4 linked regions of the Alligator mississippiensis genome follow. The protein of the gene in region 4 interacts with the protein of the main gene of each other region in a pairwise test. Links are inferred from orthologs where the notes say so. Each region holds a gene or a part of one and is shown on either strand. Other genes may lie near its edges. The genes, in order: RABAC1, XIAP, TOLLIP and NTAQ1.

Region 1 (7,744 bases), on a different chromosome or scaffold from region 4:
CCCCAGCCCTCTGCAGTGAGCTCAGCACAAGAGGGGTAGACTGTCCGCTCTCCAGCCCGGATGCCTGGCTTCTCTCTGAGGCTCCCGGTGATGACAAGGGTCTGCCGGGTTGGAGCATGCAGGGTTGGGAGCCAGATGCCTAGGTTGTCTGGGAAAGGAGAGGGCCTGGGGGGTTTGAGCAGGATGCCTGGGTTTTCTGGGAGAGGAGAGGGGGATGGGGTTCTGAGTGGGGGGGGAGCGGGAAGCCTGGGTTTTCTGGGACAGGAGTGGGGTTCACTGTGGAGGATGTGGGGTCTGGTGGGTTGCAGCAGTAGGGAGCTGGGATCCCAGACTCCTGGGTTTTTTCTCCAGCTCTGAGTGAGGGAAACAAGGGACTGGTGGGAGCAGGACATGAGGGAGGGGGAAACTGGGAGGTCCTGGGAGTTACTGGGTCCCCAAAGCCCACCCCACACCCCTCCTGCCCACATCAGCCTTTCCCCATCCAGTCCAGCCCCCCTCGCCTCCCAAATAACATCGCTGGATACCCCAGGAGGCCAGACCTCCTGCCAAGTTCAGACCCCCGGAGCTATGGGGGGATACAGGGGCCAGAAGGACCAGCAATACCTGGAGTCAGCAGCGTAGCCAGGAGGCCGAGGATGAGTAGGATGTGCATGGTGCTGTACGTGGGCACCGGTGCCCAGGGGGTTTTATACTTTGGGGCTGGGTGGGGCACGCAGCTCTCACCAAACCTAATCCCCCGGGATCAATTCCTGCCGCACCTGGCGCCAGCTCTCCTGGCCCCAGTGCGTCGTTTCTGGCAGGCCTCCCCGCCCCAGCCCAAACCCCATGGCCCTCCCAGAGCTCCCCCACGGGCTCCCAGCCCCACCCTGCTCTCACCCCCTGAGACCCCACTCCCCTCCTCTCCCCTCCCAGGGCTGGAGACAATCCGAGGGTCCAAGTCCCCCCTGCCAGCAGATCTGATCCCCTCTCCTGCCAGGGCAGGTCCCAAGCAGAGTAGAAATCCAGGAACACCTAGTATTCATTACTTAATTAAGAGGCTCAGACCTCCCTGAGCTGGGACTGGAGGCCTCTTGATCAAGGCAGAGGCAGCCTAAAGGAGGGGCTAACAGCCCAGCTGGATACCCACTGGCACCGAAGCCAACCCTTAAGAGGCCTGGGGCCCTTGAGGCCCTTAACAAAGCCAGACCTAAGGAGGCATGGGGCCCAGCCCAAGCCAGCCCAGCTGCCCTAAGGCAGCCAGTCCTAATGAGGCGTGGACAGCCTGAGCTAGCTCAGATTCTGAGGGCTGGGGTTTCCCCAAGGGGCTCGTTTGCATCCCAGCAGCTCGTTAATTCATTCGCTGACCAATTGTGCTCCCTAAGAGCTAGCCTAGGAAGCCTGAGGCCACAGGTCAAAGCCACGCCGGACATACCGTGTGGCCCCCAGCCTGGCTTCCTTACCCGTGCGGCTGGCACCCTACCCCACTCCCCTCCAGAGCTGGGGGAACCCAGGCGAGGGTCTCACTAGGGCCTAGGGTACTGAACACAGGAAGTGGGCAGGGGCTGCGGGGGAGGGGCTAAATCCAGAACCAATCAGGAACCCTGATGGGAAATTTGGGGTCCACCCCCAAATGACAGGAGCACCTCTCAGCCCCAGGGCCACCAGGGACCCACTGACAAGCTGGACCCCCATCTCATCTAGCCCCCCACCTGGGCAGACCCACAAAGAGGTGTGGCCACCATCTTAAAGGCCCAGACACTCAAGTGGAGGAGGGTGCTGGGCTCTCTCCAGGGCTGGGAGGTGCAGCGCCTGGGGGGTGAGAGCAGGGCTGGGGGCTCCGACTCCTGCCTTCTCTCTCCAGCTCTGGGAGGGAAAGGAGGGGAGTCTGGGGAGCGGAGGCAGGGAGCCCCGGTGCCCAAGTCCTATTCCTGAAAGAGGGGTAGGAAGCGCTGCCAGGGGCCTGTTGTTCTTTAATGGCCTGAAATCCATTATGGACTTAACTAACTGTGCAATTAGAGGGCGAGTGGGGCCCTGCTGCCCTCTGCTGGAGACCCCAGAGCCCAGTTCTACCCAGCCGTGCCCCACAGCCCCCCACCCCAGAGCCAGCTGCCCCCAGTGCTGGTCTACCTGGAGCTGGGAGAGAACCAGGGCATCCTGGCCTCCTCCCCCCAGGCAGCATGGGAACCCAGGCCCCCCCGTCCCCCCCACACACGCACGCACCCAGTACCTCACTCCCAACCCACAGCCCCCTGCCCCCCCAACCTGACTCCCCCCCCACTCCTGACCTACAGTCCCCTGGACCCAGGCCTTGCACTGCTCCAATCGCCTCCCCAGGCTTGCACTTCTCCCACAGAACCAGGCATCTCAGCAGGGGGGATCCTGGCATTATGGGGCATGGGAAGGAAGAGGGGTGGGCAGGCAGACGGATGAATAGACAGCTGAATGGATGGACAGACGGATAGAGTTAGACAGACAACAGGCAGGTGGAAACCCCTAGGCGCCCAAGCCTCTCCCAGAGCTGGAGAGAACCCAGGCGGCCGAGGTGGCGCCCAGGGAGGCCAGCCCTGACTGCGACACCACCCCTCCCCGAATGGGGAAGGAACACAGGTGCCCGGGCTCCCAGCCCCCTGCTCTCACCCCCAGACCCTACTGCCCTCCCAGAGAACCCAGGCATCCTGGATGATGGGCTTCCTTTGACGGTGCAGCCCCAGTGCCCCTCACTCCTGACCTGCTGCCCCCCACTCCTGCAAGTGCTCCTCACTCCTGACCAGCAGCCCCCCACCCCGGCACGTTCCCTGGGCAAAGTCCAGCCGGGGCGGGGAGCGGAGCCACCCACTCAAATATTGACCCTCGTGGGGCCTCGCCCTGCCCCGCCCGCCCCCACCCCAAACACACACAGGGCCCAGGGAGAGAACTCAGGCATCCAGACTCCCAGCCCCCCCTGCTCTCACCACCCCTCCCCTGCCCGCTCCCACGCCCCAGGGCTGATAGAGTCTGCGAGCCCCCACCCCCCTGCATCCAGGCACAAGGGACTGGACCAGGACCAGCGCAGGAGCCAAGGACACAGGTGGTGTTGGGGAGTGCCGATGCCCCTCATGCCCAACCCGCGGCCCCCTGCCCTCCAACCCTGCCAGTGACCCTCACTCCTGACCCACAGGCCCCTTTCCCCCCCAGCCCTGCTGGTGCCCCTCACTCCCGACCCACAGTCCCCTGGCTCTCCACTCCCAAGCCGCAGCCCCCTGCCCACCCAGCCCTGCTGGTGCCCTTCACTCCCGACCCTCAGCTCCCTGCCCCACAGATACCTGGCTGGGGGGGGTTAGGGGTCTCTGCTTTAACCTCCCCTCCCCCCCCAGACCACCATGTCCTACCAGACGGAGATCATTGTAGACTCACAGCCGGGGCCGCTGGGCCCTGGGGCAGTTTTCAGCGTGGGGGCGCTGCCGGGGGGGGCCTGGAGCTCCGAGCTCTGCGACTGCTGCTCTGACGTGGGCACCTGTGAGTAGGGGGGTGGCTCTGGGGGTTTGGGGGGGGTCTCAGGTGCCCTAGGGGAATGGGGTCCCCTAGGGGCACCTCTGGAGGGGGGTGTCTCTGGGTTGGATATCCAAGGCAGGGTTCCCAGAGGTGTGCCCCACTCCCAGGTCTGTGTGGTGCGCTGGTGCCCTGCATCTTGGCCTCCCGGGTCTCGGAGCGCTTCGGCCAGACCTGCCTGCTGCCCTGCTTGCCCGGGGCCCTGGTGGCCCTGCGGACCGGCATCCGTGAGCGCTACCGCATCGAGGTGGGTGTGGGACAGGGGGGCTGCGGGTTGGGAGTGAGGGGCACCGGGGGGAATTGGTGGGGGTGCGGGTCAGGAGTGAAGGACACTGTGGGGAGGGGATTGAGGGGCACCAGAGGGAGTGGAAGGGGCTGCAGGTTGGGAATGAGGGGCACCAGACAAGGGTGAAGGGTTGCAGGTCAGGAGTGAGGGGCACCAAACAGAGGGCTGTGAGTTGGGAGTGAGGGGCACCGGGGGTGTAGTGGGGGGCTGCAGGTCAGGAGTGGGGGGCAGCGGGGGTGTAGGGGGGCTGCAGGTCAGGAGTGGGGGGCAGCGGGGGTGTAGGGGGGCTGCAGGTCAGGAGTGGGGGGCAGCGGGGGTGTAGGGGGGCTGCAGGTCGGGAGTGGGGGGCAGCGGGGGTGTAGGGGGGCTGCAGGTCAGGAGTGGGGGGCAGCGGGGGTGTAGGGGGGCTGCAGGTCAGGAGTGGGGGGCAGCGGGGGTGTAGGGGGGCTGCAGGTTGGGCGGGAGGGGCAGCGGGGATGTAGGGGGGCTGCAGGTCGGGAGTGGGGGGCAGTGGGGGTGAAGGGGGGGGGGCTGCAGGTCTGGCGTGAGGGGCACCAGCTTCCCTCTGCCCCCCCAGGGCTCTGTGTGCGACGATTGGCTGGTGATGGTTTGCTGCCTGCCCTGCGGCCTGTGCCAGCTTTCCCGGGAGCAAGACGCCCGGCAGTGACGGGGGACGGTCATTTGCACAGATTTGCATGCATGCAAATGAGCTCACGCAAACGACCCTACCCCAGCTCCCCGCTGACACCTCAATAAAGAGCTGATTGGAGCCGCGCTGTGGACGGAGCCTTATTTCTCCCCGTTTCAAAGTGGCATCTGTTTGCATATATGCAAATCAATCTGTTAAAGGAGCCCCGCCCCAGGCTCAGAAGGGGTGTGTGTGGGAGGGGCATGTCCCATCCCCACGTTCCAGGAAGGGGGGCGCTGGAGGAGCCGGACTCTATTTCCCAGCATGCTTCGCGCCCCTCGCCTCTGGCTCCCGGCATACCCCGCGCCCCGCCCCCCCCGCAGCGTCGGTTACCCGTTGCCACGCCGACAGCCGCGCTCCGGCTCGGGACGCAGGTGAGGGGCGGGCGGGCGGGCGGGCGGCGGGGACCCGTTACCATGGCGACCCGGGATGCAGGGACCGCGCATCCCTGCTGGGGGGCGGGGGGGGACACACCGGGATCGGGGCCGGCCCCGCCCTGCACGGGCACGGATCGGGCCCCCTTGGGCACTCCGGATCGGGCCCTGCCCCCCGGAACCACCCCGGAGCAGGGCCCTATCGGCGACCCCCCTACGGGCCGTGTCCGCCCCTGCCCCCGGCACTGCGCACGCACCGGGCCGCGTCGGGTCCCGGAAGCTCTAAAAGGGGCCGAGTCCCCGCGGGACCTGCGCCCCCCCCCGCCCGGATCGGGCCCCAGGGGCTTGTAAAGGGGCTCAGCCCCGCCCCGGAGCTCCCAGCCCCCCGCTCTCCCGCCCAGGCCCGGCTCGGGCCCCGCCGCCATGGCCGGGAAGGGCCCCGCCAGCCCGGAGCAGCTCTTCCACCCGGGCAGCGACAGCGACAGCGACCCGCCCGCGCCCGGGGCCAGGTGCGGGGACCCCGGGGCTCGGGGGGGTGGGGGCGGAGGTGGTGGCGGGGTGCGGGGCCCGGGGCTGAAAGGGGGGGAAGATGCGGGACCCCGGGGGGGGGCGGGGCTCCAGTGGCGGTGTGTGGAGCGGGGGGATGCGGGGACGCGGGGGGGTGCGGGCCCCCGGGAGGGGGGGTGCGGGGATTCGGGGGGGGGTGCGGGCCCCCGGGAGAGGGGGGCGGGTCCCCCGCAGGGTCTCACCCCCGTCCCCCGCAGGTCCCCGCCGCCCCCCGGGCCGGGCGCGGCGCTGGGCGCGGGGCTGGCGCGGGCGCGGGGCTGGCTGGGCCGGTGCGGGGGTGTCCGGCCGTGGCCGCGGCTCCTGGACCCGCGCCGCTTCGCCAAACCGCGGGACGCGGCGGAGCTGGGCCGGCGCGTCACCCGTAACGCGCAGCGTTTCCACGGCAACTACGCGTGCGTGGCCGCCGCCCTGGCGCTCTACTGCCTGTGAGTGGGCGGGGCCGGGGCTCCGCGGGGCGGGGAGGGGGCCCGCTTCTATTGGGGGGCAGGGTCTGAGCCTGGTGGGTTAAGAGACCCATCCTGCAGGGGGCGGGGCCAGGGCCGGATGCATGGGGCGGGGCTCCGATGCTGGGGGTTGGGGTCCTGATGGGGGCAGTGGAAGCTGATCTGCCCCCTCCGGCCCCCGCAATTCTGGGGGGACAAGCCCAGATCCTGGCGGGTGGAGTGGGATTCTGGTGACCTGGGCCCTGAACCTGCCCCCAGGGGTGGGAGCTGAGGAAGCCAGGATGTCTTATGAGCGCTGGCATGGCAGGTGATCAGGGGAGTGGATCGAGGTCACCTGGGAGCTCTGCTCCCCCCCCCCCCACTTACCCTTGTGTCCCCCCCCAGCATCACGTCCCCGCTGCTGGTGGTGGCTCTCGCTGTCTTCCTCGGCGCCTGCTACGTCCTGCACGTCCGAGCCCAGCAGGGGCCACTCGTGGTCCTGGGTGAGGGGGCCCGATCCAGGCCTGATCCTGGGAAGGCAGCAGGGGGAGGGGAGGGGAGCATAGGGCAGGGGCTTGTTCCTCTGGCTGCAGGGGAGAGGGGGCATTGAGCTACCTGGGGAGGGTGGGGATTGGGTCTTTTCCATAGGGCCCGGGCCCAATCCTTGGGCATGGTGGGCTGCCTCTGGTAGTGGGGCTGGTCTGGGGTTAGGGTGGTGCTGGGTACCTCTGACCCTCCCATTTCAACCCCCCTCCCAGGCCGTGAGCTGAGCGCCGGGCAGCAGTATGCAGTGGCCGGAGGTGTCTCCTTCCCCCTCTTCTGGGTGGCGGGGGCTGGATCGGCTGTCTTCTGGGTTCTGGGTGAGTGAGGGAACCTCCCCCCTCCAGCTTGCAGGGCAGGCACTGGGCTGCGGGTTGGCAGTGAGGGGTACCGGCAGGACTGTAGCGGGGTGGGGGACTTTGGATTGGGAGTGAGAGGCAACAGCAGGGCTGGGATGGGCAAGGGCTGTGGGTTGGGAGTGGGGGACACCGGCAGGGCTGTAGAGAGCGGCCAGGGGGATGCGGGTGGAGAGTGAGGGGCACCAGCTGGGCAGGTGGGGTGGGGTACTTACGGCCCCCCCCCCCCCCCCATCCTCCTGTCTCCCGTGCCTATCCCTGACCCCGCAGGCGCGACCCTGGTGGTCATTGGCTCTCACGCCGCCTTCTACGAGACCGAGCCGGCCGAGGGCGAAGAGCTGCAGATGGAGCCTGTGTGAATTCCACTCCCAGCGGCCCCTTCTGCCCCCCAAGTCTGCCCCCCTATGTTGGCCTCTCCTCTGTCCCACCAGCTCTTTGGAGCCCCCTTCGCTGCAGCTCTGCCCCCGCTCTCCCAGTAGGAGAACCCAGGTATCTGGGCCTCCCCACTCCACGGGAGGCCTCTTGATGCTAATAAAGCCCTTTTGAGTGCGAGCTCGTGTCCTGTGTGGAAGGGATGGGGCAGTGTTGAAGCACACACGCCTTGTGCACATGGCACGCCCCGCTCACCTCCCAGCACCATGTGTCTATGATGTGTTTGGAGTTGGAGCAGGGGCTGGGAGCCTGGACACCTGGGTCATTGTCCAATTCTGCTCCCAGGAACTGAGATCTGGGATCTGAGAACTGGATAGCTGGGTTCTCTCCAGCTATGGGCTGGGATTGGGGGCTGGGGGGTGAGCAACAGGGGCTGGGAGCCCAGACGCCTGGGTGCTCTCCAGCTGCGGAAGGAGGCTGGGGGGATGACTTGGAGTAGGTGGGAGCTAGGAGCCAAGATACCTGGGTTCTCTCCAGCTAGGGGAGGGGGGTGGGGGGGATTGCTTAGGGCAGGTGGGGGCTGGGAGCCCGGACACCTGGGTTCTTCCCTGCTCTGGGGTCTAGGGGATTAG
Region 2 (7,343 bases), on a different chromosome or scaffold from region 4:
GATTGTTTTTACTGCTAAGTAACCAGAGAGACCATTAATCTTGGTCCAGTGAACTACTCACTGCTTCCCTGTTCTGTTTCAAACTCTGAAATAGAAGTGGGCCAAGCTGTTTGGGAATCAGAGTCAGCCTGACTGCTCTCACCACAGATGTAGTGCTTTTTTTTTGCTTTCTAAAAAATATTTTAATCCCTGTAGTCACACTTGTTAGAAATGAAGGCACTGTATTGTACAATACCCAAACTTTGGGAACTGAATCTTGATTTTGTCATGTAGGGCTCACCAACCTGTGGCACAAATGGGCAGCTGGGATGAGAGGCCAGCCCGAGAAGGACTGGTAGAGCCTGATGGGGAAGAAAATCCACCTGGGATCCTTATAGCCACTGCGTTTGAGTGGGTACAGACCCAAAATCCACTGGTAGGGAAGCAGAGGTCACAGAGGATCCTTGAGAGCGTGAGAGGACATAGCCTGAAGTACTGGGGTAAATGGCCGGGTGCTGTCACAGGGCACTAAGGTGCCTGCTCCTCTAAGACCAGAAACTGCTTGGGGAGAGAGCCCAAAGAGCCAGCCAGAAGCCCACAGGTGTAGGTTACCATGGCAACAGGCTAACGAGCAAATTAGCCTGCACCTGCACCTGGTCAGCTGACTGGAAGAGGCAGGGCCCTGGGCTCATATAAACCCCAGGGCTGAGACCAGAGAGTCAGTTCTTTGCCAGTAGTCAAGGGGGAAGGAGCTCTTCTAGAAAAAGTTAAGGGAAGAGGCCTGACTGTCTTTTTGCTTCTGGTAAGATTAAGGGACTTTGGGAGCTCACCAGATACCCTGGCCTACAAGGCCTGTAGTGCTGGGGAAGAGTGGTTCTTTTCAAGGGACAGAGCACACCCTGAGCTGCTTGAATTATGTTATAGCCCAGGGGCTTGTATTTTGATTTCTGTTTGTAAGGCCAGTAGACTGGGCTGAGGCTATTGGGGAAGGAGGAGGTCTCATTGGGGACCCACTACAGTGTGGGGACCCCAGCGCCAGTGTGGGCGCAGTATCTGGGGTGCATGGATCCTAGCACCGAGGGGTGTGGAGAGAAGGAGACAAGGCTGCGGAGAGCCCAGTGCTGACCAGACGCCAAGTGAAACTAAGGCCTTGGAGGGACACTGTGTGAATGCCATCTGTGAGGCTTGGGGCATGGTAAAGGGATGGTTTGGAGCCATGCATGTAGCCCATGAAGCTGAGGGTGTCCTGAGACATCCCTTTTGGAGCGGGACCCAAAAAGCGTCCAAGAACCCACCGGGTTCAGTAGGGTCCATCGAGACCATGTCCAAACAAATTTGAGGGCAGCTTCCCTATTTCATAAAGTTACATGAAGATGTGGCAGGCAAGAAAAGGTGCCCATTGGGCAGGATTGGCATGGTCAGGGAGCCATAGGGGTATCACGGCCATCCCTGGTGACCCCATCCCGTGACAGGTGTCAGCAGGCCTAGGATCCCAGCTTGCCTGGGGAACACCCACAAAGGGAAAGCCAGAGGAGGCCAAGTGAAGTCTGCCTTGCTGAACACAGAGCACTGGAGTGTTAGGTGCAGGCACCAACAATGCCCTGCCTGCCTGCACCATGTGTGCACTTTTAGTTTCATTATTAAGTTGTGCGTTTGTCGGCCAAGAAGGCCTCACCACGCTCCCACAGGGGACCGTGTAGGCAGCTGTGCCAGGAGAATGGGCAATGCCAGCGACCCATCCCAGACATCGCCAAGACCAGAGTGGACCACCTGAGTGGAAAGGGGTGAGGTGTCGGGGTGGTGGAGCCCAACAGAAGACCTACTGGCTGAGCCACCAGGGGCCAGAGGAAAGCACTGAGCAGCACCTGCAACTAATCTCAAACAACATTAAGTTGTGGCAGGAAAATAGGCCTTGGGGCAGTGCTCAGGTGGGCAGGGCATGCCAGTGGTGGCACTGCAAGCATGAGCCTGCCATGGTCATCCAGCAGTCATGAGGCCCCTTTTCTCTTATGGTGCCAAAAAGCAGTACAACTTACAACAGTTAGCATACATATAGCCTAGCACAACCAGAACTCCCACATTATATGTAACTGTGTATGTATACACATACAGGTACTCGTATATCTACACCCCCATAGATGGATAGCTATAGCTATATATAGATTAAAAAAAAAAAAAGTGTGTGTGTATCTAATGGGAACATATATACCAAGTAATATATACATGCATATCCATATACAGGTTTCCCTTGCTTTATGCTGTACATGTGTTCCTGGAAAATGGCACAAAACTCAAATTCGCATAAAGGGATCCCACTTTACAATGTAACAAATAGGGTACGTTCCAAGACCTTGAGTGTACTGACCTCCAGACCCATTTCTACCACTTTTGCAAGACAATTTTGGTACTCACCAACAGCAGATAGTACACACAAGCACAGGGCACTATCATAATGGGGATGGCAGCTGCAGAAACACGTGTTGCGGGCAACGAGCGAGAAGCACAGAGCAACACAAGAGACTATATTTTGGCATCCGCCACTCCCACAACGCAAAAAGCAGCTGACTGCGGGCTTCCACTGCACTGATTGCTGATATAAGAGTGAATTTACCTTGCATGTAACACATTTTTGGTATAAAAAAGGTCATCGCATGAGAGTGAGTTTGCATATACAGAACCCGCATAAAAGTGAGGAAAACCTGTACAGGTACCTGTACACGCACATTTACACACAAACATATGTCACTATATAGTAACTGTATATGGAGGTTTCTCTGTGTCCTGAGTTAAAGAACTATATAGTTACTGTAACCATATAGATAGATCGATAGCTTTATGTGTATATATATCTTTATCTATCTATCTATCTATCTATCTATCTATATGGTTACAGTATCTCTTTATATCTCTATATCTATCTATCTATAGATAGATAGATATAGAGATATAAAGCTATCTATCCTATACTTACATAGGTATAGATATATAGGTATACGTGTATAGATAGATCTATCTATATAGTGGTCTAGGTATAGATAGATCTATAAATAGATAGTGACATGTTTGTGTGTGTGTATATGTGCATATGGATGTGGTATGTGTGTGTATATAGGTATGTATCTATTACACCTACACACATCACACACATGCGTATCCATAGACAGATATACGCGCACACACACGCACAAATCCATACACACGCGCACGCACGCGCACACCCGTGTGTAAGGAGAGGCGCGGGGCCGGCAGGGGGCGCTGCGCGCTCGCCTACGAGGAGGGCGGAGGGGCTGGGCGCCGCCATCTTCTCGGCGGCCGCGCCGGAGCCGGTGCTGGTGCTGGTGCTGGTGCTGCGGGCGGTAAGTGCGGCGGGGCAGCGTGAGGGGAGCGGCCCCGGCCCGGCCCGGCCGGCTGCTCCGGGGGGAGGGTCGCGGGTCGCGGGCGGCCTCTCCAGCCGTGTCGTGCCGCCGGCGGGTGCCGGGTCCCCCGCGCTGGGGGTGGGGTGCGGGTGCGGGTGCGGGGCCCTTCCGGGGCGGCAGCCCGGCCTCCCCCGCCCGGGGCCGGTGCTGCGGGCTCCGCCGGGGCCGGGCTGCGAGAGGCCGGGGCTGGTTTGCCGGCTCCCCGGGGGCACGGCACTGGTGTGGGCCGGGCCCCCGCGGCCCTGTCAAAGACGAGACTTTCGCAGAAGCGTGTCTCGCGTGGGAAAGCTCCTCCAACTTTCATCGCCACCGCCCCTTGTCCCCATCGAAGACGGCCCCTCGGGTCGCCCTCGCCTCTCCCGGCCACGCCGCCAGTCTCTTCCCGGTGAGGATTACTCGAGAAGAGCTGAATTAGGGATTTCCTCGTCCAAAATAAGGTTTTCTTTCTTTCTTTCCCACCCCGCAAATGTTTCCAGCGTGCCCTGCCGCCTCCTGCGCAAAGAAATCACTTTCCACATTTGTTCGGGTCTCCTGTGATCTCGAAGGCCTGATGCGAGAGAGACGATACTGCTTTCATTTGAGACTCGCACTCCGGTTCGGGGATGTACGTGGTAGCCGCGTTGGTTTGAGACCCAAAGAAAGGCAAAAATCGAGAACTCTTGGTGCCCTAAAATGATCTTTGCGCATCCTCTGAAGTGCGCAGACGCACGCACGCCGTCACGCAGATTCCCGTTCCTCTCTCGCCGTTCCCCTTCTTCGCCCATCGTTAATTAGAAACCATCTCCTGTTGGTTTGCCAGCGCTGAGAAACTCCTTTGCAAGGTCCTGTTGCTCGTGCGGTTGTGCGCTGGATCGGTCTCTTCTCTGATCTTCCTCCCTACGTATTTAATAATGTGATTTTTATGTTGTTTATTTATTTATTTTTTATTCAGTGGTGGTCTGTCGTGCTGATGCTTTGTGGTGGATGCATTGCAAGGTAGTTTTCAACTGTTTGCATGCAACTCGGTCTTTAAAGGACATTCACATTTCATCGTGGGTATGATTTCGGTGATATACAGCATCCTAGAACTGCTAAACATCATTTTTACTAGAAGTGCTGATGTTCGTTCCCTAAAAAGGCAGGCGTGTTCAGATGTGTTAGCTGTCCTTTTGGTGGGTCTTTATTTTTCTTGTCTGTTTTGTTTTTATTGGGGGGAGGGGGAGTCTGACATGTGAGACATCTTGCACAAGGGGCTGCTTCTACCTCGCCGCCGTCATACAAGATGCAGACCCTGTGGCGCAGAGCGGATGTCTAATCCCAGCCGTGGTGCTTCAGCAGGTCACAATATTTATTGTAATGCCTTGAACACAACAGGGCTGTTGACTTCATGCAGGAAGCGGTGCTCCTGCGGGGGTCCAAATTTGGCCAAGTTCACCTATTGTGAGAAAAACCAAACGTGTTATGAAGATCAACCACATCAGAGAGATGCCTTCCTGCTTCCTTAAGCCTATCATGATTGATGTCGATACAAAACTGTCTTTTGGGGTTTTCTCTAAAGTGATGGGACCTGGTTAGCTTTCTCTGTTTCTCTTCCTTGTTTGCTGGGTGCTCGTGCTTGTCTTGGCCTGTCTTGTTTGTATGAGCTTGCTAAACTAAGCTCATTTTGCATTTTTTAAGTGTCCTGCTTTCTTCCTTACCTACCTATGCTTGTGGATGTAACCTTGTTTGGTGTTGTGCAAGGATCGTGCAACCGTTCACGTGCTAGAAGCTATATACATGGCATGGGAGCCAAGCTGATGAAAAGAGCCGCAGGCCAGAACTGGTTCAGGAAGTTCTGCACATCTTTCCTTGGCTTCCGTAAGCAAAGGTGGGAGAAATTTTCTCTGTGGCAGAAAGAACGGTCATTAGTGCGCTCCAAAACCAGGTCCATCGCAAGTACTGTGAGGCTAATGTGGTATCTCATTGATGTCAGAAAGCATAAAAATGGGCGTTATTTAAAAGGGCTCTTTACCAGCGTGCAATTTTTTCCTGTTGGGTGGCTTGGAAAGCTCTTTCAGTAGAGTTCATGGGTAATTCTGGTAACATTAGATGCTAAAAGTGCTGTTTTTCTATTTATTGATAGCACATCCGTGGTGGATGAGAGTAGGACAAAGTAATGGGATGAGTAAACAAGAATGGATGAGAGTTTAGGTCAGCTGAGGAAGAAATAAAACAGAGATTTTTTTTTTTTTTCCTCTAAAAATGTTACCTTTATCTCTCAGAAGCGTTGCCTCTGAGATGCACTGGTAGGAAGGTAAAAGGAAAACTGAATCATCTGAACTGCCTTCTGGTTCTTCCCCTTACTTCACTTTCTACCCCCCCCTAAAAAAAGTGGACAATGACTTTTCCTCTTTGAAATCATGGCTGGAAAAATCCTTCATTTGATTTACTGATAGGGTAGAAGAAACATTCCTTAGAGAATTCTGGTCATCCATTAATTTCTGTAGAATTTAACATCACTTAAAAGAAATCAGGGCTGCTTGCAGACATTGTGGGGGGAAAAACCTAGTGCTTTACTTTAAACTTGGTGCATTCCTGTGCCAAGCCCTGTGTAAACCCAGAGGAGGTGGACCTGGCTTGCCTGAGGTCTGTAAAAATTGGGTGGTTTAGTGGGGCTTTTTTGGTGCTTTTATCTAATAGCTGATTGAATCTGTTAGCAAAAAATGCCCCACTGAAGTGCCTGACCTATATAGGTGCTACAGAGCTGGTTTGAAGCAATATGCTGCTGCTTCTAGTGAGGAGTGGGTTTTTTTTTTTGTTTTTTACTTGTTTTTTAAATACCTGCAAGTTTCTAAGTCTTTAGGGTTGTGAGAGAGAATTTGTGAGCTGATGTCATGTCATTTCCCTCAATTTAGAGACAGCTTAACAAAACACTGCAGTGTAAAGACTGTTGGCGACCTACATCCTAGCAGCGTAGTGATGTGGTCAAGAATGCCTTTGGGGCTAGGAAAGACATTTGCCACATGATTTTTTTTTTTACTTTACATTAAAACTCATACCAAGGTGCAGGATTTTTGGTCCCAAGACGGTGACCACGGCGCAGGGCACCTGTCATGTGGCAGGGTTACCCTTGTGGCCCTCAACAGCTCACTAAAACTCATTAAGCAGCCCTCCAGCCAAAATAGTTGCCTGCTAGGCTTGTGCAAAATTTCACTGTTTTGTTCCGAAGCTGTTTCGACACATTTCAAGCTCGAAACAGCAAAATCAAAATGAAACAAAGCATCAAAACAGCTTTGAAATGAAATGAGGGCACTTGAAACATTTCGAAGTGTGTTGAACCAGCCCGGTGGTGAGAGGCAGGGGAGAGCCAGGGCTGCACTCCAAGCGGCTCTGCAGCCCCATGTAGCTCAGCCCAGCGCGGAGCGCAGCCCTGGCTCTCCCCACCTCCTGCCACGGGCTAGACCCTGTGGGGCCCACGGAGCTGATCGGAGTGCAGTGCCAGCTCTGTCCACCTCCCGCTGCCGGGCTGCGCTCCAAGCAGTTCCATGGCCCCATGGAGCTCAGCCCGGGGCAGGAGGCAGGCAGAGCTGGGGCTGCACTCTGCCTCCCACCACCAGGCTGAGCTCCATGGGGCTGCGGAGCCATTCAGAGCTCAGCCCAGCGGCAGAAAGTGGGCAGAGCTGGGGCTGCACTCCACCTCCTGCCACCAGGCTGAGCTCTATGGAGCCTGCCGCTGGGCATGGACTGCTCCCAGCGCTGGTCCCAGGTGGCAGCAGCAGCCTCCTATCATCCAGCACAGATCCAGGGGCCTGCACCCCCAGGAGGAGTCCAGCACAGCCCCACAGCTGGCAAATTTTGCTTTCAAAACTTTGAGGTGCAGTTTCCGAGAAACCTCTGCACCCATCTCTTTGAAACTTGGCAGGCTTCATGCCCTCAGAAGGGGCTAGCATCCCTGCAATTTGCATCTAAATCAGGCAAGAAAGACAACAC
Region 3 (7,421 bases), on a different chromosome or scaffold from region 4:
AAATTTGAGGGAGCTGTTACCAGAAATTAACGATCAAGGAAGCTTGCTAGGGAGTCTGTGCTGGGTCAGCCGCACTATTTAATGTTGTTCGGCCGGTGCAAATCAGTCAGAAGCCTTGTTTAAATGGCTACTAGAAGATATCACTTGTGTGGGGCTCTATAGAAAATCCTATATACATGGCATGTAGCCAGAGGAAAGGGGGTGCTGCCTATATGTAGTAATACTATGATGATCCCCAACTCCACATACAGCCTAGCTGGCGTAATGTACTGATTGAGTGTATATTGATCACAAGATCACAAGGGATTGCAAAACTTTCTTGGTACAGACCCCACTGGTGTTCTACCAGTCCATTTACTGGACAGCATCCTTGGGCCAAATACACCTTTGAGGTAAGTCAGTGGGGCTGAACCTTCCAGCTCTGTGGGCCAAATGAGTGGTGTGAAGCTGGATCCCTCACATGGGATTGGTTTATGGTGTATCCAGTGTGGGGTCAACACAGTCTGTGGGTACAATCCAGTGAGCTGGCCCAACCCTGAACACAGCCCAATATCATGAGCTGGATCCAGCTGCTGAGTGACACCCCCATGCCAGCAGGTCTGACACATGCCAGCATGATCTAGTAGATAAGGCCATGTCATCTGCCCCATGGGGCTTGCCATGTGTTCAGAAATTGGGCAGCATGGGAGGGATAATTAATGCTGTAATCCCCCCGCCCCCAATTTCTGGACTTGGGGGGATACTCGTGGGCCAGATGACATGGCCTCACAAGGTGGATCTGGCCCACAGACCAGAGATTGAGCACCGTTGATGTAAGCTGAGTGAATTGTGTCAGGGGTGAATTTGGTCTTTTTTGTTAAATTTAATTGATGTATTTTCTGGCTTGCTTTCTTTGCCAGTGGCAAGCAGATAGCTAAGCCTTTTACTTTTGTTCCATGATAATGTTCAGTGCTGTTTGTTGATGATAAATGCTTTAAGGTTCCTGAACAGGCAAAAGGAAAGGTCTGTTTTGCTTCATTTATAGTCCTATAGTTTGAAATGAATTCTAGTTCCATCAGAAGAGCAATTTATAAATATACCAGGGAACATAACAGCCTCTATCCTCAGCTAGCTGTTCAGCTTGCATCTGGTATCAACTGTATTATCTGATCAAGGCCTCCCTATCAATTATATCAAATAATGTCCATTTTTAGAGCTAGCAAGACAAAAGCAAAAGATGCTTTTTCCTTCTCCATACATATGTTATGGTAGCATGAAAAAGATCTGTTATATATTTGGAATGCTCTTAATTGTACTGTTCTATTTCCAGCTGTTGGAATCTGCACTAGAATTTTAATTAATGACTAAATTTATGCAGCAAATCCGAACAGGAAACAGTTATGCTATTTAAATAGGTTTTGAAATTCTCAGATTTTATCTCCCAGAACAGCACTCAGATGAATATTAGAGCTGCTTTTGTTCTTCTGAAAAGACTGGAATTGCACAACAAGCTGGAGGAGATATGACTCCTGGCATGAGGGCACAGGTGGTTTCCTCATCAAGGGCCAAATCACACACGCCTGCAGAATCATAGAATCATGGAGCTGGAAGAGACCTCTAAGGTCATCTAGAAAACCAAAGCAAGGGGAACTCTGTGCCTTTTTTCCTCACTGATGTTTCTGTCATTGGGTGGGTGAGAATCTGCTGAATGGGCAGGAAATTTGAATGCTGGAACCTGTGGGTCCTCTGAGATCTAAATGGATTTTAGGGGACTTGCTGTAGAAGTCTGTGTAGCAGTCTTATTCTTCCACTTGGTCTCCTGTTGCTTTTACTCATTCTTCTGTCCGGACAGATCCAATTAGGCTATGATGAAGTAACTGGGTGCTTAAGTGCTCTTGGCAGCAGCTGTGCATGGGGCAGTGTCAGTGGTTGTGCTGCTGACAGCATGCCAGTGGCAGTGCCAACAGCACAGATGCTGCTCTTTTTGTGCTACCCACCCAGGGTTGCTGCCTCAGACTGGTGCCTCAATCTTCTTCTCTTCATTATTCTTCTGCCATGATGACACGGACTGCACCATTTGCTACTACCCTACTTCCACCCCTAGAAGGATTCATTTTTGTTAGGAAGAAAGTCTGCTCAGGAACAATAATGATTTTGTGTGGGCAAAACAAGCAAAGCAAGGTTTAAGTTCAACATGAAAGTGATATGGCTAAACTTCATGTTGTCATGCTATATAACATTGGCATTTCACTGCAACTGTGTGGTGCTGTTTCACTGCTGTTGTGGAATCACAGCGTACTGATATTTCAGTACAATGCAAGAATGATTATCCCATCACTGTGCCACCTTATGATGTCATTTCAGTGCAACTTCTCAGATATTTCACTAAACAATTGTGGTTCCCCTTCCATCTCCTTCAGCATACTGTATAATGCTGTATTCTGATGGCAATATTTACTTTGTTCCACTTCCATCTTGTAACACTGCATCACAGTGGATGCATCTATGTGAGATGCTGACTGCGCAGTAGCCTCAGCCTGATAACTACTGCGCAGTAGCATTGCGTGGCAAAAAATGTGATGCGACACTACTGTGCAGTAGTATTAGGCTACTGTGCAATAGTGTCACCAAAAAGGCATTTGCCGGTGCTACTGCGTAGTAACTCAGGTTACTATGCATTTATTTAATACTTGTTTATACGAGTTTATATTTATACAAGTACTAAATAAATGTGCAGTAACGACTGTGCAGTAGCATCTCATGTAGACGCGGCCAGTAAGTTCTGGGCATGAGGAAGTGGTAATAGTGAGGTATCTTCCACCACTGGCACCCTGCTACATGATATTTCAGCCCCACACGTACAATTTTCCTGTGCAACACCATGGTGCTGGTGCATGGAAACAATGATCCACTGCAGCACAGTTACATTTTAGTACAAGGCAAAGGAATGTATCTGCCACACTGACATACTAACTTCATAGTGACATTTTCATGAAACATGAGGATGATCCTACATTGTCAAATTATTATGTTTTGGGCACAGCAAAGATGATAGAGATGATGTTTTGGTGCTATGTCATCACTTTCTCACAGTGATATTTCTGTGCAAGGTGACAACAGTAATGTTTTACCCCATATTGCCATGTCACATCCTAGTGGGTTACAGCACCCTGCTTTACTACTGTATCACAGGAGCAGTTTGGCTCTAATGCTGCCTTGGGTCTGGACAGTGATAACTCAGTAATGGGCAGTCCAACTCAGTGCAGCAGGTTTACTGTGGTCTACTGGTGTCCATCCATGTGGGTCTTCTGTGTAGGGCTTTTTTGGAGCAGGGTGGAAGTACCTCAACGGGCATCTTGGAATAGGACAGTGGTGTCTGACTAACTAGGGTGCAGAAGCATTTCAGGACTGGGCACTAGAGTCTTGTCATTTGGCAGGAAAATCCCTCATTTGGCACAGTGACTATTCTGGCGTGAGGCAGATCAGCTCTCATTTTGGGACAGAGGCTTCACAGCACAAGAGAGCGGTGTACAGTATTATCTTGGTGGCTATCTAGTTATGGGGAGTGTCTTCAGACCCTACAGTGATCTCTTGTGCAGGGTAAGATTGTCTCCCACCAGCGCCAGGGCACCTTGGATATGGTCCTTTTGGTGTGGTACAGTGACAGCTCACCCTGGGATATACTAGGGCAACCATGTCACATGGCAGGCCTTTCTCTGGAGTTTCTGTGCGATGGTACCTCGGCAATTGCCTCTAGGGCTGGGGCCAGTGGCCATTTTGGTACGGATGGCGCAGCCTGCATGAAGGCGGCCATGGCCGTGGTGCTGCAGCCTGGAACGTGCCTCAGTGTGATGCATCTGAGTGTGTGGGTAGTGACTGTATTAGTATAGGGGCCATTTTGGTGGCAGGCGCTACCATATGTGTAGGGGTCAAAGTCCCAGGCATGGGGACAGCTGTTTTGAGGGAAAGCCTTGTGTTGTGGGGCAGAGGTGAGGCACTGCAGCACTCCCAGGCACCCTGAACCCCACCCTTTGGTAGTGATCCATCCACACCAAGGGCAGAGTGAGAAAGGTCTCCAGTACCAGTATTGCACATGCGTGCTGCCTCTTCGCGCATGCGCAACACAGCTTCTTGAGACCGATTTCTCAGGAGAGCGCTGTCCCATAACAGCCTCTTGCGCAGGCGCCAATTCCCATCAGCGAGACTAACTCACAGCTTCCGAGGTGGGGGGGCAGTAAGAGAGCACGAGTGTCGTAGCGCGCATGCGCCACGTTCTCACCACGGGCGCCCCGCCCGTCCCCTCCAGCGCATGCGCGGAGGCCACGCCGCCACTGCGAGGGCGTCAGACGGGGCAGGAGGAGAAGTCAACTCACAAGCTAACCACCCGTTGCATCACGCATGCGCAGCGGCGAATAACGGGGCGGGGTGGGGCGGGGCGCGTCAGCTGACTCCGGAGCTCGGCGTTCGGAGGCTGTTAACGGTAGCGGCGGCCTGGCCGGGCGGAAGGCGGAGGTTCCTGGTCCGAGTGAGGCGCTATGGCGACCACTGTCAGCACCCAGCGGGGCCCGGTGAGTGTCGGCCGGCAGCGGGCAACTGGGCCCCCCCAGTCTCGGCCCCGCGGGGGGGGGAGGCCCTGAGGATTTCCCGCTGTGTGTGCGCATGCGTGGTTTCCCCTCCCCCCCCTTTTTGGGGCCTCCCTTGCCCCACGTGCTGGGGGAGGGGGACTCTGGGTCGGGACTGGCCGTCGATGTTTGTAAACGGGTCCTGGTACAAAAAAGGCTGAGAACCACCGGGATCGAGGACGACTTACCCTCCCAGGAGCCTGTGCTGGCGGCACACAGGGGTGTCCCACTCGGCCCTGGCTGCTAGGACCACCCTCTGCTAGGTGACGTTGTTCGAGATGTGACAGGGGGCGGGTGGCACCATTGGAGTGTGATCCTGCTTTGGGCAGGGGGTTGGAGTGGGCCTCCTGAGGTCCCTTGCAGCCCTGGGCTTCTGATTCTACCATGGATCGAGTGGGGCTGCATTGAGACACCAAGTGTTCAAGCGCAAGAGCACTTCTTCCGGTCTCACCAGTCATTCATTTGATCTGCCCAGAGACACCCTGCCCCCAAAATCCAGTTTCTTGGACATTGCGACAGCATCATTCCAGTGTTACCACAGACACAGACGTGTGATGAAACCCTGCTTTACTCTTCTGTTCCAGTTCTCTCGTCCTTGCCTGCGTCTGGGGGCAGTCTGAATTTTGTGTTAGTACGTCTATTTACAATTGAACCCTGGTCTTCAGGTATTTATAGGGAACAAAATGGCTAGGCTGAGCAAACTAGCGGACTTATGTAGTGATGCTGAGAGGCAAGAAGACTAGGTTGTTTGTTACACTGGCCTTATCTGATGATGATGGAAGTGTGTTAGTGATCTCGTTTCCTGCGGTTTCCCCTTTGTGTTAGCTCTTTAAGAATATGTTTCTCTTTACAAATGGATTTTGTTAACTTTCGTTGCTAGGCCCTAAAGCCTTTATATGGAGGGAGGCCTTTTGTCATTTTCTTTGGCTGGGCGCCTGCCTGCAACCTTTCGCTTCTGGACTTTCCTCTCCACTAACCCCAAAAGGGCTCTTGCTTCAAATCCGTGACCGCATATATAAAACGGTTTCCTTTCTACTGGAGAAGAGCAGCCTTTCAAGACTATGTATATCCCCTTTCCTGATAGTCTTTCCACAGAAAAACTAATGCAGTTTCTATATTCCTTCCTTGTGACATGGAGGGCAAACAGCATCTTCCAAAACTGTAATGTCAGTAAGTAGACACTAAAGGGGGCTAACAGGCTAAATACAAGGTCCTGTCTAATGCTCTAATGCTGCAGAGAGTGTTACCTCTTTATCCTTCTAGCTTGCTCAAACTGGAAGCTTTCCAAGGTTGTCTTGGACGTGGGTGTCTGGGAGTACATGACAGAATGCCACCAGACTTATTTTTATGCCTACACTTTCTGATCTGTAGTTCTCATTTATATGTACATGGCAAACATTCCTAATTGCAGCTTATTTTTTCAGATGTATTAAAAGTGAAATTCCTTCTGCCCTCTTCTGATAAATGTTCAGGTGAAATATAAAGAATGTATGTATGGCAGAATATATAATGGCTGCTGTATTTCATTATGTAATTTGCAATATCTGGTACTTTTATAAAAAAAAAAAATGACTAGTGTTACTGGGGGGGGGGAATGGGGGAAATTTCTGTTTCTAAACTTATGAGATTAAAATACGCAGTTTGATTCCTTAGTTTGGTTCTCTCTGCATTCAGGACTGGAAGGGACCACAGGGTGCTCTGGGAGTTGAGGGGTGATGGGGGCTGTAGTTAAAGTGCCCCTGTTGCCATTTTTCAGCACAAGGACGTTGATCCACATGATGCTCATTTCTGCTGGAGAGCGGTAATTGCCATGTTCTAGCAGACTCAATTAATTGAGTCTGCTCCGACACACTGTAATTAGAGCATGTCCGAGCAGCCTCCCTGCATGTATATAGGCACAGAGAGACTAGTCTCTGTTATTGTTGGTAACTGTGATACAAACTGATAAAGAACCTTGGAACCTTGCTCTCCTGGTAAGACAGAAATTGGTTTCTGACTAAACTTTAAACCTGTTTGTACTTGTGTCAATATTGTCATTTAGCCTGACTGATCTTTTCACATCCCTCTGGTGTCCATCCTGATACATTTTCATCTTGCTAGGCTAAATAACCAACCTTTTTTAGTCTCCCTTCCAAAGATAAGATATTGGGAGAAAAAGGAGAGCCAAGTAGCCCTTCTCTGTACCTGCTTCTTTTTGAATTTATCTTTCTTGAATATGGAAGGCAAAGCAATCAATTTTGTTTATACTAACACCATACCTTGATGATGGGATACTAGGTCTCTAGGCCAGTTCTGACACACATCTGTCACTAAAGATGCACTGATCCTTTTTCACACAATTTATTTTACTAATCTTAATTTTTCCAAGTAAAAAACATATGTTGTAAAACTGCTATTTATGTATTACTTATTTGGCATTAAAAACAGTTTTATTTGTTTTCTGTTCTAGAGTGAACACGAACTCACTTTTGACACTTTTACCTAGTGCCTAATAACGTTTCATAAGATAAGACTGTTACATTTCTGCTAACCCAGAGCTAGTGAAAGGAATTGCAGTAAGTAACCACTGCTTCAAACAAGGCAAACTTGCTCTGCCTCAATTTAGGGGTTAGGAGGGAACAGATGAAACTATTGTGATGCTGCTCAATCTGGTATCAGTCCTCTCTTCAACCCTCCTATCCACTTCCATGCCAGCTTTTAAGTGGGGTAACTGTGTCATCTTTTCTGTCTCTAACTTGAAATGTTAATTATTTAGACATGGTTCTCAATCAGGGTGCTGGGAGACCCCATTAGGTGTGTTGTGATACAGTCTAGCCCCCT
Region 4 (7,921 bases):
CATCACTGGGAAGCAGGAGACGGGGCTTCCCTCCACTTCTGCATGTCCCAGCAGCTGCATGTGGCAGCAGGAATCGGGGAAGGCAGCTGGCTCCGTTGTGCCGGGTCTTCCCACAGTGGTGCATGAGGAGCTGCACGAGACGCAGGAAGCACTGCACAGTAGAGATGGGCCAACCTTGCTCCACTCCATGCCAGCATGTGCAGCTCCTGGAATTGGCTGGAGCTCAGCCAGACCCCCTCACAAGCCCCACACACACTCCCCACACCCCACCGTACACCCCCACCCATCCCTCAACCACACACCACACATGCCCCTCCACACAGTATACAAGAGTAAGACTATAGTTTGAGATATTATGCAATCACCTTTATATACACCATGCAAACACACATAAATCAGGACAAAAATAGTTTTTGACAAAACTAAAATACATTATTGTAGATGTTTGACTTTTTTTTATATGATTTGGTTGTTTTCGGTTCCAAGAGGAAAACTGTGCCCGCCCCCCCCTCCAAGGAGTACTTCTGGGGCAATGGGAGGGACTTCCAGTGGCAAAGGTCAGGGGTTAGGGGTGGGACTTCTGGTCCCAAGATGGCGACCGGGGGCGGGGCACATTTCAAGGGGCGGGGCTACCCTTGTGGCCCTCAACAGCTCACCAAAATTCATTTAGCAGCCCTCCAACTGAAATAATTGCCCACCCCTGAGCTAGACTGTTCTCAATGGTAGCAGATGACAGAACAAGGAGCAATGGCCTCCAGTTGCAGCAAGGGAAGTTTTGGTTGGAACTTAGGAAAAACTTTTTCACTAAGAGGGCAGTAAAACACCGGAACAGCTTACCAGAGAGGTGGTGGAAGCTCCATCCTTGGAGGTTTATAACACCCCACTTGACAAAGCCTTGGCTGGGATGATCTAGTTGGGACTGGTCCTGCTTTGAGCAGGGGGTTGGACTAGATGACCTCCTGATGTCCCTTTCAACCCTCGTTTTCTATTGTTCTGTAACAAAGGCAGGGTAGGTTTGCACTGTATAGACCAGGGGTGGGCAAACGGCAGATCTGGCCTGCAGCTGGATCCCATTGCCCAGCAGCCCCTGCCCACACAGTTGTGGCCCGTTTCCATGGAGACCCCAGCAGTGGGGTCTGTGACAGTGTGGGGCCAGAGTTTCCATGGAGACCGGCCCCAGCATGCAGCTGGGCGGGGAGAGGCTCTGTGGCCGGGGCTGGAATCTTGCCGTGGTGACAGCGTGGGCTGGAGCTGGGGCAGAGCTGTGATCCGCTGCCTGCACATCCCAGCCTGGGGTGTGTGGGCCACAGATCGCAGCTCTGGCCCAGTTCTGCAAGATCCCACTGCAAGATCCCAGCCCCAACGCAGCTCCCCACCCAGCTGCATGGCTTGTCAGCTCTGCTGAGGCAGATCTCCATGGAAACCCTGGCCAGCGCCCCCGCTGCTGGGGTCTCCATGGAAACCATCCACAGCGATGCAGGTTCCATAGCCTGGACTTTACTCACCTCTGTTATAGACTAACCAAAATAGATATTTATCTAGCACAGGGGCAGATCTGGGAAGCGCAAGGTTGCAGTCACACCTCCCACCTTTGATTCCTCTTCCACCCAAGACTTAAAATAAAGGGCCTGGCAGTGGCAGCAGCATTTCTATTCAGGTAGCAGTGAGGGAGTCACTTGACTTCATGGCTCATTATCATCTACTTGATTCTTTCTAAGCTCTTAATTCCACAAGCCTTTCTGATTTGTAAATGGTCTTGCCATACCACTAATAAAGCTAGCCTTTCTTCTTTAATTCTCCTGTCTTTTAGCTGCTCCTGATAATGTAGCTCCTATTTCACAGCCCTGCAAACTGTTTTTAACTTTTGGTGCAAACATTAACTTGGGTGAACATCAACTCAGGTGTAAAATTAACTTTCAGTGAAGCACTGCATTCTAGATTCCCTACCTGCTCACCTCCCTGACCTCCCAAGTACAGAAGGCCAAATTCAGCCCATGACAGCAAGGTTCCTATTTGATGGGGGGAAACACATCTGGACATATTGTAAGAGCCATTTTGGAGATTAGAGTTCTGTTTAATAGTTCAGTCACACCTGCTTGCATAATTAATGGATTAGGAAACCCAAAATCATAGGATCATAGGAAGGGACCTCACAAGGTCATTTAATTTAGCCCCCTACTCAAGGCAGGATTATCCCTGACTAAAACATCCCAGCCAAGTGTCTGTCCAGACTGTTTTTGAAAGTTTCCAAGGATGGAGATTTCACAGCTTCTCTAGGTAGCCTGTTTCAGTGCTTCACCATCCTCATAGTCAGAAAGTTCCTTCTAATCTCCAAATACCTCCTCAGTCTTCTCTTTTCCATACTAAATAATCATCAGCATAAAAAGGTTTTCCCTTTTCATATATTTTTCATATATGATTCCTTTTCACAGCACTAAGCCACATCTCGGGCTGTCATCTGGGACCGAAACGAAGATCTCAGACCCAAAGCATAATCCTCTACTAGTTTTAGTAGCAACAAGTTCTTGATTTTAAAAAAGGCCTAATTGTAGGTTCCTAATCCATTAGCTCTTAAATTATGGCCTGGTTACCAACATTTTCATTAAAACTGGCTACTAAATACATTTTTCTATCTTGTGGTTCTGATTTGGGAATACACTACTAGTACTATATGGTTCAACTGATAGGGGAGAGAGGACAAAGACCACACTGTCTTCCAAACAGACATTGTTACACTATACTTTCCAATCCAAAATAAAATTATTTTAATGAAAAGCAAACCCGTTTTCTTCAAGACTGTTTTTTTACTTCCCTCCTCTTTAGCAAGAAAATGCGTGAAGAGTTCACATGAAGATTTTAGTCCCAAAAAAAGAAAAAAGAGAAAAGTTCAATATATTTCAGTTAGAAATGGGCATCAGCCAGAAACCTCACATCTGTACACTCCAAAATTCTCTTATCCACACATTTAATTGGAGACCTCACCATGGTTTTGATGTGAAGCCAGGAGTTTTAAGAACTGTCTTGTTCTGGAAAAATTTTTTGAGGGTGATATCTTTTATTAGATCAGCTATGCAGTTGGAGTAAAATTAGATAAGCTTTTGAATTCTTTCCCAGAGACCTGTCTAAGTGTCTAACTTTCTTCCAACTATACAGTTGGTCCAGTAAAAGATATCACCCCCTCCTCCCCCCCCCCAAAAAAAAAACAAACCCCACAACCTTTCCTCTCATATTTCCTGGAATATCACTGGTATTTCACTCCAACCTTACCAAAACATAATTTTTCTCACAGCCTTAAGCAGTTGGAGAAAGTGTCAGGCCTGCTTTGAAAGTTGCGCAACAGGATGTACAGGGGCCATAGTAGCTGTGAAAATAGAAAACAGAAGTACTAGTAGGTCAAATATGGACAGTTTAGGTTTGTTGTCAGGAAAAAAGAAGACCTCCTTTGCAATAAGACAGGACAATTGATCATTGTGAGAAAGACCAAATACTTCTTTAAACCCCTCGGTCACTGATTTCCTTATTTCTGTGTGCTAATGAGAAGAGTTTAAAACTATAAAAGGTAAGTGACACCCAAAGCAACTTCTAGAGACCAAACACATGCAGCCCCTTTCAGTTTGACTCAAAACCCCACACACCACTTGCTTGACCTCATTTACAGTCTGAATGCTTCAAGGTAGTCTGGTTCAAGCCTCCCTTGCCTTAGTACACAGCATATGTCAATGGCCGGCCCAATCCCCAGATAGGCAAAGCTATTTCTCATTAGTGGTGCTCAGGTGTCCCCGTAATATCATAAGCATTTATCAATCCATAACTTTTGCATAATTAAATTTTACAAGAGACTCTGGAATGCATTTGGTAAAGCTAGCAGCTTTAAAGAAGACATTGTTTTATGGCCCAGGCATTGAGAAGCCTCAAACGTTTTGAGGTAAAGTGTCTTGCCCTCAAAGAAGAGAGAGTGGAAGGAGGAAAAGGAGAGGAATCAGCCCACAGCCTACTCTCCCCTGCGGAAAGACCTGCAATTTCTGTGGGTGGACCTCTGGACTCTAAGCCACCTCAAGACCCATCAATGAGCTGTGGCAGAGATCATCCTCCAATTGAGGGATTGCTGGTGGTAACCGAGAAGACTTTCAAGCATCTGCAAGTTCCTGGGGCTTAAAACCTAGTCCAGGAATCTCCTTCTCCTGCCACTGATTTAAATGCAACCAAGAGGAAGCACTTGCCTCTACTATGACAGTATTTGCCCCACCAGGTACCAACTATGCTTTCTCTCTGGCTGGTTTCCATGCCCCTGGGAAACTTCTTCATTGTTAAAACAGTGAGGCAGTGAAAGAGATGCCTAGGGAAGTTGTGGACTCCCCATCACTGGAAGTATCCAAGAAGAGGTTGGACAGTTACTCATGAATGCTGCGTGCCCCCGGAGGCTGTGGGGAGCATGGCGAGCTCCCACAGGCGGTGGTGGCGCTGTCAGCGGTGGCAGCGGCAAGCTCCTGCAGGCAGCTGTGGCACTGTTGGCGGCAGGGGCGGCGAGTGGCAACGGGTAGTTGGCGACCACCCGCAGATGCCGCTGGAAACAGCAGCCAGCGGCAATCAGGGACCACCCGCAGATGCCACTGGCGGTGTCCTTGGTGGGGGGTGGGCAAGCAGCAACTGCCTCCAGGCGCTTTTTGCAGGGGTGCACCACCAAGCTTTGGGGGTGCACGTGCACCTGTGTTCACCTTCTACACGTCACCAATGCAGGCACTGGTCAGGGACGATCTAGGTGTAGCGCTGTGTTCTTCTATGGGGATTTCTCAGGCTTCTGGGCTTTGCTGCTTGCCTCCACCCTTACCTTTCTGCTACCTGTTTTAAGCCTCCCTCAGAGGCACTGGGTGTTGGCAACAGCCAAGCCTGGGGACTTCGGGTGCTGGCCGGAGGAGGTTCCTAGCTGGAGGGTCTCGCCCCTCTGCTCAGGGCCAGACGGATCACCAGATTGGCGTCAGGAAGGAATTTTTCCCCCTGGTCAGACTGGTCCAGACTGGGGGGGTGCTTTTTCCGTCCTCTCTGGCAGAGCTGCCTGGCATCTCTTGAGTGCAAACTGACAGCACCAGGCAGGTCGGGCGAGGAGGGCTGTGCCGTGTCAGCCTGGCTCGGAGCAGCGGCTCGCGGGTGCGGGTGCGGGGAGGCTGACACCGGGCTCGGGCCTCTCCCGCTCCTGCCAGGCGCAGGCTCCCTCCTCGCCCCCGCCGCCGCGCTGCTTCTTGCCGGCAGCGGTCGCTGCAGCCGGGTTTCCCGGGGAAGGAAACGCCGCGGACTCGCGCCCGGGCCCGATGGAGCGGGCGGCGGGGGCGGGCGCTGCACCTGCCCCTGCCCGGCACGGCTGCGTCTACACCAGCTGCTACTGGTAAGGGCGCCGGGCACGTGTGCGGGGGCGCGGGGCTGCCCCGGCCCCGGCCCTCCGTGCAGCCCCGGGCCGCGCTGCCAGGCGGGGCGCACGGGAGCCGGGAGCGGCCGGGGGAGCCGGTCCCCGCGGGTGCGGGCACGCACCGCCCGGCCCCGAGCAGCCCAGCAAATGCTGCTCCGGTCGGGGGGGGGGCCGGAAGGGAAACACTGTCTTCTTGAACACTACATCCCAGAGTCCCTTGCAAAGTTGAATTATGCAAAAAAGTGATCGATTGATGCATGCTTGTGATATTGCGGGGGCACCCGAGAGCCACTGCTAAGAAACAGCATTGCCTATCTGGGGACTGGGCCGGCCAGTCGCATCTTGCTGTGGGCTCAGGCATGGGAGGCTCCAGCCAGGCTGCCTGGCCATCCAGGCTGTAAATGGGGTCAAGCAAGTGGTGTGTGGGGTTTGGGTCAGCTGGGTCCTCCCCATCCAGACCCCGCTACCCCCGCGTACCGTGCTCTCAACTCTGCATGTGAACACCCCAGCCTGCCCCGGGGGAGAGCAGGGGCGCCACAGCAGCCGGCGTCCTGCCTCTATGACATGTTGTCCGTTTGCACTCAAAAGATCCTGGGCAGAGCGCCAAGCCCCCTGCTATAAAGGAAGGCAAAAGCCCTCCCAAGCCTGTACCAGTCTGACCAGGGGGTACAATTCTTTCCTGACCCCACTGATGATGGGTCTGACTGAGTGGAGGGGCGAGACCCTCCAACCAGGAACCTCTGGCTTTGGTCCCAGGGGGAGCACTGGCGCACCCCAGAGTCCCCAGGCTTGCTGTAGCTAACCTCCAGTGCCTCTGGGGAGGCTTAAAAACACCCTGACACATATAGCAGAAAGGTGGGGTGGGGTAACCAGCAAAGCCCAGAAACCTGGGAATACCCACGAAAGAACATGGGCACAGCTACGCATAGATCATCCCCAACCAACGGCTGTTCAGTGGCATTGTTAGGATTGTTTCTGTACTATCCTTCTATTTAAAACATTACATGCGTTTCACCACCTGCATTTCTCTTTTCAGGCCAGCTTTTTATTAAAGGGGCTCAAAGGGATACTCAACTCAAGGGTAATTTCTTCAGAGGAAAAGAGAAAGGGAAAAGTCTGGCACAATGCTAACTCTCGATACTGCACAGCATTTATTTTAGTTGGAGCCAACCAAATGCTGCTGCTTAGCCGTCAGACATTTGGACTGCAATACTGTTTATTAATTGTATGTGAAGATTTGTGTTATAAAAAAAACACCGTAGGTCTAAGTTCTAAATTTTATCTTTACAAACAGGTGTGTAAAGGAAGGGTCGGCGGGAAGTCCTGGGCAGAAGCTCAAAGTGGGAAAAGCACAGTGGCTATCCTGCTCTGAGTTTTATGAATTGGGAATGAAGCAGACATTTAAATAAAATCCCTTGTGTTTTACAGTGAAGAAAATGTTTGGAAGCTTTGTGAATACATCCAAAGCCAGGATCAGTATCCATTAGAAGAATTTTATGTTATTTTCATATCCAACGACAGAAAGATGGTAAGTTGTTTTCCATATCACTCATTTGTCACCACCAAATTGAGATTCAGGCCTTTTCACTGTGGTGGGAAGATGGCCCAGGCACATGCATAATGGGAAGCCAAAGAAAGACCCTAAAGTATTTTTGTCATGCATGTGTGAGTCAGGACTGGACAGGAACCTGAGATGTATTAAATCCCTCAGCCTAGTAGGAAACAGATGGAACAGATTGTAGGATACAAAATAGATCCCCAATTAGGAACTCACCAAAAAAACCCTCAGACTAATAGAAGCTTTATTATTATGATTATTACAGATAAAACATAAACCAATTAAGTTTGTCAGCCAGTAGACAATAATTTGTCCTGTAATAGTCTGAAATCTTACCTGTTTGTTTAATCTTACTTCAAAAGAACTTCTTAATACTTGTAATTTGCAGATACCACTTTGGAAGCAGAGATCAGGATGTGGAGATAAACCTGTAGTTTGGGTAAGGCATTCTATTCCCTTTTATGTTGGTTCTTTTACATACTTTTGTCTGCAGTGTTGTATCATCTTTTAGTAGCACATTAAACACTGCAACTAGCATTGCCACATATTTCTCCTAGTATTTCTTCCCTAAATCAAATATTGATGTGGGCATAATGGACAAGATGCACTTAGACTTTATCTTGCAGCTTCACAGCAAGAAGCTTAGCAGTCCTGGGCCTGGCAAGTAGTAGGCAACTGTCAATCCTCTGGAGCATGGTGTACACATAAGAGTAGTCAGATGCCTGATCCAACGCCTGACTGACAAGCCCAGTTTGAGAGTGACACAGCTTGTTACAAGTTTCATGGATCCATATGTTGTCTGAGTTGGAGTCCATATTTACAGCGTGCTGCTTTCTTCTTTATTGCTTTGCTTCCATCCCCTGGATCGAAGCTGCTTGATGTTAAGCTGCACCCAGTGACATGTATGGATAGGTTTCTATGTGCTCCTCCCAGCTTTCTATGTTGATGTTGAGCCACTTCAT

Evidence for each region.
Region 1: the proteins of NTAQ1 (region 4) and RABAC1 interact in binary tests that used the Homo sapiens proteins (3 or more experiments, as listed by UniProt). The two-hybrid records come from large-scale screens. The link is inferred for Alligator mississippiensis from reciprocal best matches to the Homo sapiens genes NTAQ1 and RABAC1.
Region 2: the proteins of NTAQ1 (region 4) and XIAP interact in binary tests that used the Homo sapiens proteins (3 or more experiments, as listed by UniProt). The two-hybrid records come from large-scale screens. The link is inferred for Alligator mississippiensis from reciprocal best matches to the Homo sapiens genes NTAQ1 and XIAP.
Region 3: the proteins of NTAQ1 (region 4) and TOLLIP interact in binary tests that used the Homo sapiens proteins (3 or more experiments, as listed by UniProt). The two-hybrid records come from large-scale screens. The link is inferred for Alligator mississippiensis from reciprocal best matches to the Homo sapiens genes NTAQ1 and TOLLIP.

Annotation. Positions count from the first base shown.
Region 1 is NC_081838.1:29,452,008-29,459,751, forward strand, and holds RABAC1 (prenylated Rab acceptor protein 1), read left to right. Parts: upstream 1-4,730; 5' UTR 4,731-4,745; coding exon 4,746-4,855; intron 4,856-5,256; coding exon 5,257-5,364; intron 5,365-5,619; coding exon 5,620-5,847; intron 5,848-6,249; coding exon 6,250-6,347; intron 6,348-6,602; coding exon 6,603-6,704; intron 6,705-7,010; coding exon 7,011-7,099; 3' UTR 7,100-7,292; downstream 7,293-7,744. Other genes in the region: cornifelin homolog, read left to right, coding at 3,333-3,474, 3,618-3,754, 4,371-4,460. UniProt on the Homo sapiens protein: General Rab protein regulator required for vesicle formation from the Golgi complex. May control vesicle docking and fusion by mediating the action of Rab GTPases to the SNARE complexes.
Region 2 is NC_081831.1:71,243,572-71,250,914, reverse strand, and holds the start of XIAP (E3 ubiquitin-protein ligase XIAP), read left to right. Parts: upstream 1-4,329; 5' UTR 4,330-4,344; coding exon 4,345-4,370; intron 4,371-7,343.
Region 3 is NC_081825.1:186,447,832-186,455,252, reverse strand, and holds the start of TOLLIP (toll-interacting protein), read left to right. Parts: upstream 1-4,406; 5' UTR 4,407-4,514; coding exon 4,515-4,547; intron 4,548-7,421. UniProt on the Homo sapiens protein: Component of the signaling pathway of IL-1 and Toll-like receptors. Inhibits cell activation by microbial products. Recruits IRAK1 to the IL-1 receptor complex. Inhibits IRAK1 phosphorylation and kinase activity.
Region 4 is NC_081826.1:20,601,386-20,609,306, reverse strand, and holds the start of NTAQ1 (protein N-terminal glutamine amidohydrolase), read left to right. Parts: upstream 1-4,904; 5' UTR 4,905-5,306; coding exon 5,307-5,380; intron 5,381-6,829; coding exon 6,830-6,929; intron 6,930-7,347; coding exon 7,348-7,398; intron 7,399-7,921. UniProt on the Homo sapiens protein: Mediates the side-chain deamidation of N-terminal glutamine residues to glutamate, an important step in N-end rule pathway of protein degradation.